3 linked regions of the Callithrix jacchus genome follow. The protein of the gene in region 1 purifies or fractionates together with the protein of each later gene. This does not show direct contact. Links are inferred from orthologs where the notes say so. Each region holds a gene or a part of one and is shown on either strand. Other genes may lie near its edges.

Evidence for each region. The genes of interacting proteins can lie anywhere in the genome.
Region 2: the proteins of SMAD2 (region 1) and CTNNB1 purify together in Homo sapiens (affinity purification with western blotting; 5 studies listed by BioGRID, with this or other methods). This does not show direct contact. The link is inferred for Callithrix jacchus from reciprocal best matches to the Homo sapiens genes SMAD2 and CTNNB1.
Region 3: the proteins of SMAD2 (region 1) and SMARCA4 purify together in Homo sapiens (affinity purification with mass spectrometry; 3 studies listed by BioGRID, with this or other methods). This does not show direct contact. The link is inferred for Callithrix jacchus from reciprocal best matches to the Homo sapiens genes SMAD2 and SMARCA4.

The regions. Positions count from the first base shown.
Region 1 is NC_133514.1:90,930,367-90,933,613, forward strand, and holds the end of SMAD2 (mothers against decapentaplegic homolog 2), read right to left. Parts: intron 2,198-3,247; coding exon 2,074-2,197; 3' UTR 501-2,073; downstream 1-500. UniProt on the Homo sapiens protein: Receptor-regulated SMAD (R-SMAD) that is an intracellular signal transducer and transcriptional modulator activated by TGF-beta (transforming growth factor) and activin type 1 receptor kinases.
Region 2 is NC_133518.1:78,994,184-78,998,468, forward strand, and holds the start of CTNNB1 (catenin beta-1), read left to right. Parts: upstream 1-1,485; 5' UTR 1,486-1,516; coding exon of another isoform or gene 1,517-2,153; exon of another isoform or gene 2,154-2,373; intron 2,374-4,285. Other genes in the region: uncharacterized protein LOC144579968, read right to left, coding at 583-1,454, 1,517-2,153. UniProt on the Homo sapiens protein: Key downstream component of the canonical Wnt signaling pathway.
Region 3 is NC_133523.1:10,116,034-10,120,146, reverse strand, and holds the start of SMARCA4 (SWI/SNF-related matrix-associated actin-dependent regulator of chromatin subfamily A member 4), read right to left. Parts: upstream 2,801-4,113; 5' UTR 2,523-2,800; intron 1-2,522. UniProt on the Homo sapiens protein: ATPase involved in transcriptional activation and repression of select genes by chromatin remodeling (alteration of DNA-nucleosome topology).

The DNA.
Region 1 (3,247 bases):
CATGAGTTTCCTTTAGTGTGAGCCTTTTTGCATTTGATGCTATTCTCTTTGCCAGGAATGCTTATCTTCCCTGGCTCATCACTTGGCTTGCTTCTTCAATGTCAGGTATTAGCTCATGCATCATTTCCTGAGAGGCTTTCCTTGATGTCCTACCTGAAGCATCCATCTGTTATTCTCCAGTACAGTACCCTGTTTATCTCCTTCAAAGACAAGATGATTAAGGATTAGTGTAATTGCTGTCTCAGCAAAGGCAGGAACTGTAGCTGTCTTGTTCACCTTTACCCAAAGACTAAGAAAGTTCCTGGTACAAACATGCGAACAATAAATATCTGTTGAACGAATAAAAAATTACTATACCAAATTTACATGAACACATACATATACACACAAATACAGGAAAATGGCGAGTATCCAATAGAAAACCACCAAATGTTGAAAGTATCGAAAATGATACCTGTAGAGACAGGTTGAGTATGATTTCAAAGAACAAGTACCAAAGATAGCTTCAAAAATATGAAAATTTATGAAAAGATGACCAGGAGTGGTTATTTTCCATTTCTACTAAGATGCAAACAAGAAGAAATGTTTAAACTGCAATGAGTCAACATTAGACATAATAATTATTTGCTGCAGAATGAACTACCAACAGAGTTTCGGAAATCTCCTCTCACTACAGAGTATGAAATATGGTCAACCACAAACTGAGGATCAGTTAAGAACAGCTCAGACTGCAGGTAACTTAAAAGCTAAAAAACTTGCTAAAGAAATGGCTTTTCCCCCCAGTTTTTAAAATTCTGAATTCATAATTACATGTAGAGTAACAATCAATTTACAAATTGAATACAACATACTTTAAAAACAGATGGCCCATATCTGCTGATCGTACCTCAGCATCACTTTTCTAGGTATTTTGCAGAAACAATTACATCTACAAAAGGTTCATTTCATAATACAATCTGGTAACTAAATCAAATGAAACTACTAGAAGACCAGAAGGTCTGCGGTTGAAATATTTTAAAATACCTTTTGAAAAAAGGGTATTTATAGATTAGCTTTTTAAAAAGGGAAAAATACGTGGAAGTAATTCTAGCATATCCCTGAAAATAATTATACTGCCACCTATGTATTTTTTTGTAGGTGGAAAGTTAAATCAACAGACTGCCAGGTTATACAAGCCAATTATTCCTGTCGAAAATTGGGTGTCAAAGGAACTTTCTCCATATGAATTCTTACTGTACCCCAGAATTAACTGGTGCCAGCAGTATCAGTGCAACTATTACTGGTGAAGATGTCATGCTATGCTATTTTGATTATCAGGACAAAAATGGGAATGGAGAAAAGAGGCTTGGAAAGATTTTCAGTATGGTTTCCTTATAATAAGATTTAGCAGTTAAAAAAAAACACACAAACACACACACAAAAAAAGAATGACTGTTTAAGCCCCACTGAACACATTAAGGATAAGGATTTCAAAAGTTAATCCACTTTTCTTCCCCCAAGAGTTTATTTTTGGTAAAAGGCAGAAAAATTAGTTTTTCTACAAGGAAAATCTGCATCTAAATAATTTGAAAATCTTGATATATATTATATATTAAAAAAGACACACAAAAATAACAGAGAAGTGGGAATAACAGATTAGGTACTGTAACTTTATAAAGGTTTGCCTAGATCAAGAAGCAGCGCACACACACACCTCATCTATGCAAACTAAAAATGTATATAAACAGCACAATACTGTGATACTGGATCATGATACATTACCTGTACACATAACTACTACTGTTATTAATAAACCTTTGGGACACTCAGTTTTATGCCCAATAAGACATCATTAAGTCTTTAAAATCTTCTCTTCCTCTTTTATGGGAGAGTATTTCTAGACACTAATTTTCCCATCTAATATTCAAATATAGGAAACAGATTCCACAAGGTGCTTTAATTGATGAGACCTCAAGTGCTGTTTTCTCTCTTGAACTTTTGGACAGTAAACAGTCCATGGAGACCACACACAATACTATGACAGAAGAGTTGTTACATTAAGTCTTTTGATGGAAATTGATTGGTGATGAAGCTTTATGACATGCTTGAGCAACGCACTGAAGGGGATCCCATCTGAGTTAATACTTTGTCCAACCACTGCAGAGGTCCATTCAGATGAAGTTCAATCCAGCAAGGAGTACTTGTTACCGTCTGCCTTCTGTTTAAAAGAATATAGGAAAATAATTATGAAATAAAGTCCACAAGCAGGAAAAATGGCTGTTTATGTACACTGCATTAAAAATTTACAGAAATTAAAAGGTTGAGTATATAATTTTGGACACGATTATTTTGAAAAATGGTTGATCCTCAGAGTCAAACAAAGTACTTCTGATGACCTTGTTTTAAAAGAGAAAAAGATGTTCTTGTAAATCACATCAAACTAAAATTAATAAGGTGATCTTACTATTCACCATCGTCCAAAACTGAACACCTGAGAGAAACTGTGGGTATTATTATTAATCAGGCCAGGGCTGAGTGCAGTGGCTCACACCTGTCATCTCAGCACTTTGGGAGGCTGAGGCAGGTAGATTATGAGGTCAAGAGATCAAGACCATCCTGGCTCACGTGGTGAAACCCAATCTCTGCCAAAAATATAAAAATTAGTTGGGGTGGTAGCGGGTGCCTGTAGTCCTAGCTACTCGGCAGGCTGAGGCAGGAGAATTGCTTGAACCCAGGAGGCAGATGTTGTAGTGGGCCAAGATCACACCACTGCAATCTAGCTTGGCGAGAGAGTGAGACTCTGTCCCAACACACAAATAAATAAAGCCAGAAGAAGAGACATGAATCAGGATTCTCCCAAGCAAACCAAGACATATATACGGTCACTGTACTCAACAAATCAACTACAGCATAGTAGATACTCAAATAATCAAATGGAGTCTAAATACAAGTATATCAAAACAAAAACAAAATCTTGGCCCAAGGTAAACCCTTACCACAGAGAGTGTTAAATGCTGGAGTTCAACTTTCCCTGACAAAGCCAATGAACATCCCTCTTAGCAACACCATTCGGGCTTTTAATAGTGCTTCAACAAAAGGGACAACTCTATGGGAATTACAAATTATTCAATGATATCCTGTCACTTCCATGCACTGATTTTAGTTCCACCTTATCTGCTACACAGAATAAGTCAATAAACCTACTTGCTTCTATAGACTAACAGCCCTTCAATTATAAGAAAAGCCCATTATCAACTGTTCATCTCCA
Region 2 (4,285 bases), on another chromosome or scaffold:
GTGCTATGGTGACAGACGGCAGTTGGCATTACCATTTATATAGTAAAATATCTTTAAGACAAAAATAAAAGTTATTTCAAGAATATGCTGTCCCTGAAACATGAGCTATGCCTTAAACTACATATCCTACCTCCATGAGTGAATACGTAAGTGGGTTTCCTGCCAGCATGTATGTGTAAAGACCTATTGTTTGCATGTATTAATTGCGGTCCTGGGATAAAAGCACAGACGTAACTTTCACTGCTGCTTTTTGTACTCTCTCCAATGTTTTGGAGGAAAAATAAGCACAAACAATAGAATAGAGAAAGTGAAGCGATCGTAATTGTTGCAGCTTTGACAAACGCCAATTTTGCTGCATTACAATGGGAAACATTTTTCAGCCTATCAAAATTAATTAAAAAACGTTTTTAAAGTCAGTTAAAAATATTAGAGGCTGTCTAATCGATCGCTTTTTCTATAAACATACTTTGGTTTCTCAAGTAATACCGTAAAAACCTTCTTCTCCAAAGAAAAAATCCCCACAAATAAATCTATTGATACCTAGTGACAAGTGGAACCAGATAAAAATGGAATCTATAATAATTAAGCTAATGGACAGTGCTCCGGAGCGAATCCATTTCCACTAGTTACTTGCTCACAGTAGGTACTCAGAAGGACTTGTTGAACTGCGGGCTTGGCGCCCATTCTCCGGGAGTTCACAGCCCTCGCGAGCGGGATCGAGGGCGGCTTGGCCCGGTGATTCAGGTCGAAACTCAAGCTGAGCCGCCCGCTGCGGGGGGGGACCCACCATCCGGACAGTGGGGGGCCTCTGGGTGCCGCGAGACTGGGCTGCCAGCCAGGTCCAGCAGGGAGTGCGCGGCACAGACCGCAAGGTCGTAAGGCCCCGACACCCGCGCCGGGCCGGGAGTCCGCAGACTGGCGACGGGGCAGCGGCGGCGGCGGCGGCGCCCAGGAGCGCCCCGAACTTCCGCCCTCCGAGGACCCGTCCCGCCCGCCCCGCGCGGCCCCCGAGGGCCGGGGCCGAGGAGCCACCTTCCGCAGGCCGCGGGAAAGGCGCGCCGAGTCCTGCAGCTGCTCTCCCGGCTCGGGAAACGCGCGGGGCGGGGGCGTCGGGCTTGGGACGGGGGAGGAGACGGGGCCACCTTCCCTCACCCAGGCCTGCAGGGGCCCGGCCTCCCCGACGCAGACCACGGCGCCCTCCGGGGCCGCCCTCCGGTCCCGCGCAGCAGGCAGCCGCCAGCCTGCGCCCGGGGAGCGTCCGTGGGGAGCGTCCGCGGCGAGCGCGGCCCCCGCCCCGACCCGGAGCGCTCTCACGGCGGCGCACTGCCGGGCCGCGCACGGCTGGCGGCGCGGGACTACTTTCCCCCGCCCTCTCGCGCCCCGCCCCGTGTCCTCGCGCGGCGGAACGCTCCGCGCGGTGCCGGCGGCGGCAGGATACAGCGGCTTCCGCGCGACTTATAAGAGCTCCTTGTGCGGCGCCATTTTAAGTCTCTCGGTCTGTGGCAGCCGCGGTAGCCCGGCCCCGGGAGCGGAGAGCGAGGGGAGGCGGAGACGGAGGAAGGTCCGACGAGCAGCCTCAGTGCCCGCCGAGCCGCCACCGCAGGTCGAGGACGGTTGGACTCCCGCGGCGGGAGGAGCCTGTTCCCCTGAGGTGCTTGGGCGCTCCTTTCCTTATCCTTCCGGGGCTGCTCCCGCTTCCTCTCGGAGCCAAACTTCGTCGCAGGCGCGCGGTCCGGGCGGCGGGCTGGGAGCCGGGCCGGGCACAGCCCGGAGGCCTGGGGTGGGGAGCGGGGGTTCGGGTGGGGGACGGCGGGGGCGGGACGCGCCCGGGGCGCGGAGGGCGGTGGCCGGGCCCGGGTTCCGGTCGCGCTGCCCCTCAGGGGCCCCGGGGGCATCGCTTGCAGGGAGGGGGTGCCGCGGGGTCGCGTCCAGGAGCCCGGATGGCCGGCGGGTGGGAGTGGGGGTGGGGGTCTGTGGTTTCTGTGCGGGGCTCCGGCCTTGGCCGAGTTTGGGGGAGGGACCCTGTGCCTCGGGATGCGCTGGGGCCCGGGGTGGGGTGGGGGGCGGGGTGGGGACCGGGGGCTCCGCCTTTTCAGCTCCTGCGGCGAGTTGGGGTTCGGGGGCTCAGGCCGGAGCGCCACCCTAAGTCCCATCTGTCCTGGGGATCCGCCGAGTGGACTTTCTCTTAAGATTTCGGAAGAATAGAAGTGTTAATTTTATTATTATTAATTTTTGGTAATGCCCTGCCTGTGTGAGTTTGAATCGAAGCAACTTTAAACCTTAGAGTAAACTCTGAGTGCGGTCGGTGCGATGCGTCAGTAGGGTGTGCACGTAGAAAATCCGTGTCTTGCACTATTTTAGCGTACCGTGCAGGTGAGTGAAAGCGGTGGATAAAGTAGGGGAGTCTTCTGGGTTTATGGTAGTGGGCATGAGACCCTAGTGAAACAAGGGGGTGGAGGAAGGGCGAAGGTGATGGCTCACTGTTTGTTACCACGTAAACTGCAGGATTCGGCCTCTGACTCGGACCGCTTCGAGGATTTTGTTCGTTTGAAATAATTTAAATTTATTCAAATAGTTTGATGGCAGCTAAACTTGATTTTTAGAGCACGTTTTCTTTTCAGCGGAGTGAATGAAATTTTCCTTCTTTGCAAAACGGCCAAATGCAATTCAAGCAGTTGAAACTTCTCTGTTTTGTCTGGAGAGAGGACTTTGAACCGAGACTTTTCGAAGTTGAGTTCCTATAGCCCGCTTCTGAATCTGCCAAGCTGGAAAGCTTTGGCACTGGGTGTAGTTGTTCCCTTCGTTCTGTTCCCTTGTGGAGGGACATTGTCTCATACTTTGTATCTTGCAGACATCTGTGGTCTCCCCCGTCCCCGGCCCCCCACCCCTCGAGTTTGTGAGTGGTGAATGAAGAAAGACCAGGCTGCTGGTATGCAGAGGTCGGCAAAAGGAAATCGAGGAGTGGTTTTAGTGCAATGAGAGCTTTGTATCGTGAATAATGGTGGCTTAGGCTTGAAGGGACGGCAGCATTTCCTTTGGTAATGTCTACGCTAATGTTTTTCAGATCGCTAAGTTGTAAAGTAGTTTGTCTGGAATTTAGGAAGCCATTTCAGTGTTTGTCACTTGGTGAACGAACATTCAGTACCTTCAGATGTCTTCGTGTCGATCGATTTGTATTCATCCTGAGAAATAGTAAATATAGCCTGAAGTGTTATTTATATTACTATCCGCTTAAATTGTTGACATAAATTTCTACTTTGGAGTCGTTTCGTTTGAACTAAGGCTGCTGCGACATTTATTTTACTTTTATATTTAAATCTTTGAAAAATCTCTGATTAAAAAAAAGTACCTTTAAGGGTTTGAGGATGTCCTTTCACACCAGACAAAATTTAGTTAATTTGCGCCCAATATTCATTAATTTGACCTAACCTTTGTTCTGAAGGCCATGTACAAGGACAAGGCCCTGAGATTATTGCAACAATAACTTGAAAAACTTTCAGAAGTCTTTTCTGTAGGATTAAAGGAATGCTGAAACTATTCAAGTCTGAAGTCCTGGGGGTGGGGAGAAGTAAAAACCTGTGCTAGAGAGCTTAGTATAGCATGTAACTTTAGAGTCCTCAGGAGTCGTGAGTCTCCCACAGACCAGAGCAACCATTTAAAAGTTTTCAGGAGAAAACAACTTAAAAAAAAAATAAGGCGGCTAATAAAAAATGAAGCATTTAACAGTGTTCAGGTTTCAGAGTATCGAGGGGTTTTTAAAACTGTTACTGGATTATTTCCTTTACCAAGATGATGATATAGAAAAGTGTATTGCCAATATTAAAATTATCAGATTGAGCTTCTTACTGTTCCTGATGACTGGATAAAAATTGGCATAAATGAGGGTCTCTGTGCTTGTTTTCATAACATCGCCACCAAGATAGAAAATGAGGAGGCAAGTTTCTTTAAGAGTATTTTGAAATGTGTTACCAAAAACTGTCATAGATACCCTTTTTTGTTATAGGGCGTGGTGGGGAGAGGTGCATGCTAAATATTGTTGAAACTAGGGATGTGGAGAATTCACAGTTTCAATATCATTATTTTGTTACTATAAGTAGCAGTGAAATTACAACTCCTGCAACAGACTACATATTCAGTTAAATGAAACTTCAGTGTTATTGAAATGAAATAACACGTCTGTCCTGTTACAAGATTATTTTATTTCTCTTTGGTGGTTTCCTAGCTGCTGATAACCAATAATGGTAGATGAGTAGGTGGTAAATTTTAAGTTTGTACTTTGAGCCTA
Region 3 (4,113 bases), on another chromosome or scaffold:
CTCATTCAACCCTCAGAAGAAGCCTGTGAAGTTTCAGGCATCCTCGTCCTACCTGTTTCACAAGTGGGGGGCCCTAGTACTAAGCACCTCGCTTGAGGTTAAGCTAGGATTTAGAGAACCGGGTGTGAATTCAGGAGGTCAGATTACAGAATAAGCACTCCTTATCGCTATCATAGGGGAGAGGAGGACAACTGAGGTTTGGGAAAACAATGACTTGGAAAATTCAAAAACAAACAACTAACGTGAACCCCTTATAATCCATCCCCAGTCCTGTACCAGGCTTTTTCTTTTCTTTTCTTTTTAAGACAGTCTTACTCTGGCGCCCAGGCTGGAATGCAGGAACCCAAGAATGGCTCACTGCAGCCTCTGGCTCACTACCTCTCTGGCTCAAGCAATCCTCCCACCCCTGCCTCCTAAGTAGCTGGAACCACCAGTGCCTGTCACCACACTCAGCTAATTTCTGTATTTTTTGGAGAGATGAGGTCTCTCTATGTTGCCCAGGTTAGTCTCAAACTCCTGGTCTCAAGCAATTCTCCCACGTCAGCCTCCCAAAGTGCTGGGACTGCCCAAAGCCACTGCACCCGATCCTGTACCAGGCCTTGAACAAAAATGCTCACACGATCTTCCACAGGACCCTCTCCTTCAATCCACAGATATTCACTAAAGACCTGCTATGCATCAGGCCCAGGGTACTCTGGGGCTAGCAAGGTAGACACAGTCCCAGCTCTCACCGTGCTGGTGGTGACAGCTACAGGAGAAAGGACCAAGGTGATGTGTGAGCGTAACTGAGGGGAACAATGGCTAGCCCAAGGTGGCCAGGGAAAGTCAAAACACAGTCCTGGTCGGGTGAGGTGGCTCACATATTAATCCCAGCACTTTGGGAGGCAGAGATGGGTGGATCACCTGAGGTCAGGGGTGTGAGATCAGCCTGGCCAAAACGGGGGAACCCCATCTCTACTAAAAATACAAAATTTAAAAAATTAGCCAGTCATGGTGATGGGCGCCTGTAGTCCCAGCTACTTGGGAGGCTGAGGCAGGAGAATCACTTGAACGCGGAAGGCAGAGGCTGCAGTAAGCCAAGATTGGGACAGTGCACTCCAGCCTGGGGAACAGGCGAGATTCCATCTCAAAAAAAAAATCCTATTATCCTCCCTGATTTTGAGGCCCCCTCTTCCAGGCAGCCCCCATGATCTCCAGCTACCACTCATTCCCTGCATGTCTGCTGCATCCCTCTCACAGTGCAAGTTATAAGCATTAAATGACAGGCCAGGAGGGTTTCTTCCCGCATTTACCACCTGCTACCCTCCAAGACTGCAGAGACTCCAGGAGCCAACCCCCGACCATCCAACACTCGGTAGGGCCTCAACAAGTATTTGCTGAACAATAAGGGACACTGGACCAAACAGTAACAATATCGCTTCCCACTTGCCAGGAACCATTTCACAGGCGTTCACCAATTCCATTTGTGAGGTTACCCCCTTTCACAAAGGAGGAAAACTAAGAGGTTCAGCGAGGTTAAGCCACTTCCCTAAAGTGACAGTGTGCTAAGTGACTGACAGCACCAGGAATCAAACTTGAATGCACCCTATCAATCCAAACTGAAAACTTGTTTCAAATTCTTGCGAAGTGTCTTTTCCACTTACTCACTTTGCACTTTCCCCAAGGAGTCACTGACCAAAAGAAAAAAAATCAAGACTGGTGTCTTCAAGACAGGGACAAAACACTCGCCTAAAAAGTCCACGTTGGAAGGAAAAAAAAAAAAAAGAAAAAGAAAAAAGCCTTCACCTTAAAAACCAATTGGGAAGCAGTAAAAAGGATGCAAAACCTAAGCACTGCTTTTATACAGCAAACGATTTCCTCCGCGGTCCCCTACTTGCAGCCGACCCCATCCCCAAACTTCCCCAACCCCAATTCGGGCAAACATTCTGAAGTCACTAATTCCAAGGGATTGGAGGAGTCCTTTACCTTTCCTTGAAAATCTGGAATGACGCGTTTTTAAGACAATTTGAGGTCGGCTAGCCCAAGGGGGTCGCCAATGCCCGTGTCCGGTCGACGCCGGACGTTATCTGGAGGTTTGGCTACTGAGCCCCAATCGCAGCTTCGCCAAAAAGGCAACATTAGGGTCTGACCCGTTACCACGCAGCCAGAAAAGCCCCAACGCCTGCCTATTGTTGCAAGCGCTGAAATTGGGAGGGCGACTGTGGGGGTGCCGGACGAGAAGGGCGAGCTTTGTCCCGCGACCCCGGCGAGAGCGCGCGCGGAGGGGATCGCGCGGCCTCCACGCGGCCCGGGTCCCCCACCCGCCCGCCGCTCCGCGGGGACCGTCCCTGCCGCGGCCTCGCGATGCTGTGGCCTTCCCCACGCGCGCGGCTGCCGGCCGGGCTTCTTGATCCTCGGGCGCCGCCGTACCCTGGCCCCGCACCGGGCGCGCCGGTCGCCCCCTCCCCCCTCAGCGCCCGGCTCCATTCAAACCGCCCTCCCCAGCCCCGCGCCGCGCTGCCCCCGCGGCCCGCGTTCCTTACCGGGAGCGGCAGGCGCCGTCGCCTTCCCGGCGCCGCCCCCGCCCCTCCGCGCGGGGCCGGGGGCAGAGTGAGCGTCTCGCGTCCCCTCACGAAACAAAGAAGCCGCCGCCACCGCCGCCAAGCGAGGGGAAGCCTCACGCGCGCACCCGCCTCGGCCACCGCCCCCCCTTCAGACACACGCGCGCGCCGCCCGCGCCCCCGCTGCGCGCGCTCTCGCTGGCTCCCCTTCCCCCAGCTCCGCGGACGGCCTCTCCAGCTTCCGCCGCCCGCCCGGCCTCGTGCGCGCGCCAGTCCGCCCTTCCGCTCCCTGCGCGCGTGCGCTCCCGCCCCTAGGCTGACAGAGGTGGGCGCGTCCAGGAGGAAGCACGAGCGCCCGACGCACCGCCCCACTGGGGCCGCTATAGCCCCGCGCCTGCGCACGGGTAGCTTTGCCCTCTGCACGCCGCGCGTCCTATCGCCCCAGAGCATGCGCACAGCGGGCGTCACTGCGGTGGCGGCGAGGGCTCTGGCGGGCTAATTGGGGGAAGGGAGTCCGGTGGCAGTGGGGTCCGTGGGGAAGGGAGGTCCCTGAGACTCGAAAATAGGAACTTGAACCGTAGGATGGGCGAGCTGGGCCTAGACCGGGCAGTGGTTTCCCGCGGGCCAAGGGGGAACCGCTTTGATCCCTGGCCGGGGCGGCGGGGCCTGTTTGGCGAGGCCGGGTGGGGCCCGACCGTGGTCGCCTTCTCTGCAAAACCTCCCTAGTGCCATTAATTAGCTTAGCAAATGTTGATTGATCTGCTGCTGTGTCCAAGCCGTCGTGGAGCCCACGGTCTAGTTGGGGAGGAGGACAAGAAGCAAGATTAATGAGCGAAATAGGGCAGTGTGAGAGGTCAAACTTGGTGGCTCATGCCTGTAATCCCAGCACTTTAGGAGGCTGTCGGGGGCAGATCACCTGAGGTCAGGAGTTCGAGACCACCCTGGCCAATATAACAAAACACTGTCTCTACTAAAAATACAAAAATTAGCGGGGCGTGGTGGCACACGACTGAAATTCCAGCTACTCAGGAGGCTGAGGCAGGAGAATCGCTTGAACCCGGGACGTAGAGGTGGTAGTGAGCCGAGATCGCGCCATTGCACTCCAGCCTTGGCAATAAGAATGAAACTCCGTCTCAAAAAAAAAAAAAAAATAGTGTAAGGTGGAGACTGGGAGGATCGTGGACATTTTAAATAGGGCAGCCAGAGAAGCAGTCATTGCAGAGAACACGTTTGAGTGCAGACATGCCGGCAGTGAGGAAAAGAAACCCTGTGAGACTGAAGGCCCTGAGCCTCTTGGTCTCCGCTCTGTGTTTTTATTTTGTTTTGTTTGTTTTTGAGACGAAGTCTTGCTCTGTCAGGCAGGCTGCAGTGCAGTGGTGATCTCGGCTCACTGCAACCTACACTTCACAGATTCAAGCAATTCTCCTGCCTCAGCCTCCCAAGTAGCTGGGATTACAGGCGCCTGCCACAACACCCGACTAATTTTTTGCATTTTTTAGTAGAAATGGGGTTTCACCATGTTGGACAGGCTGGACTTGAACACCTGACCTCAGGTGATCCGCCCCTTGGTTTC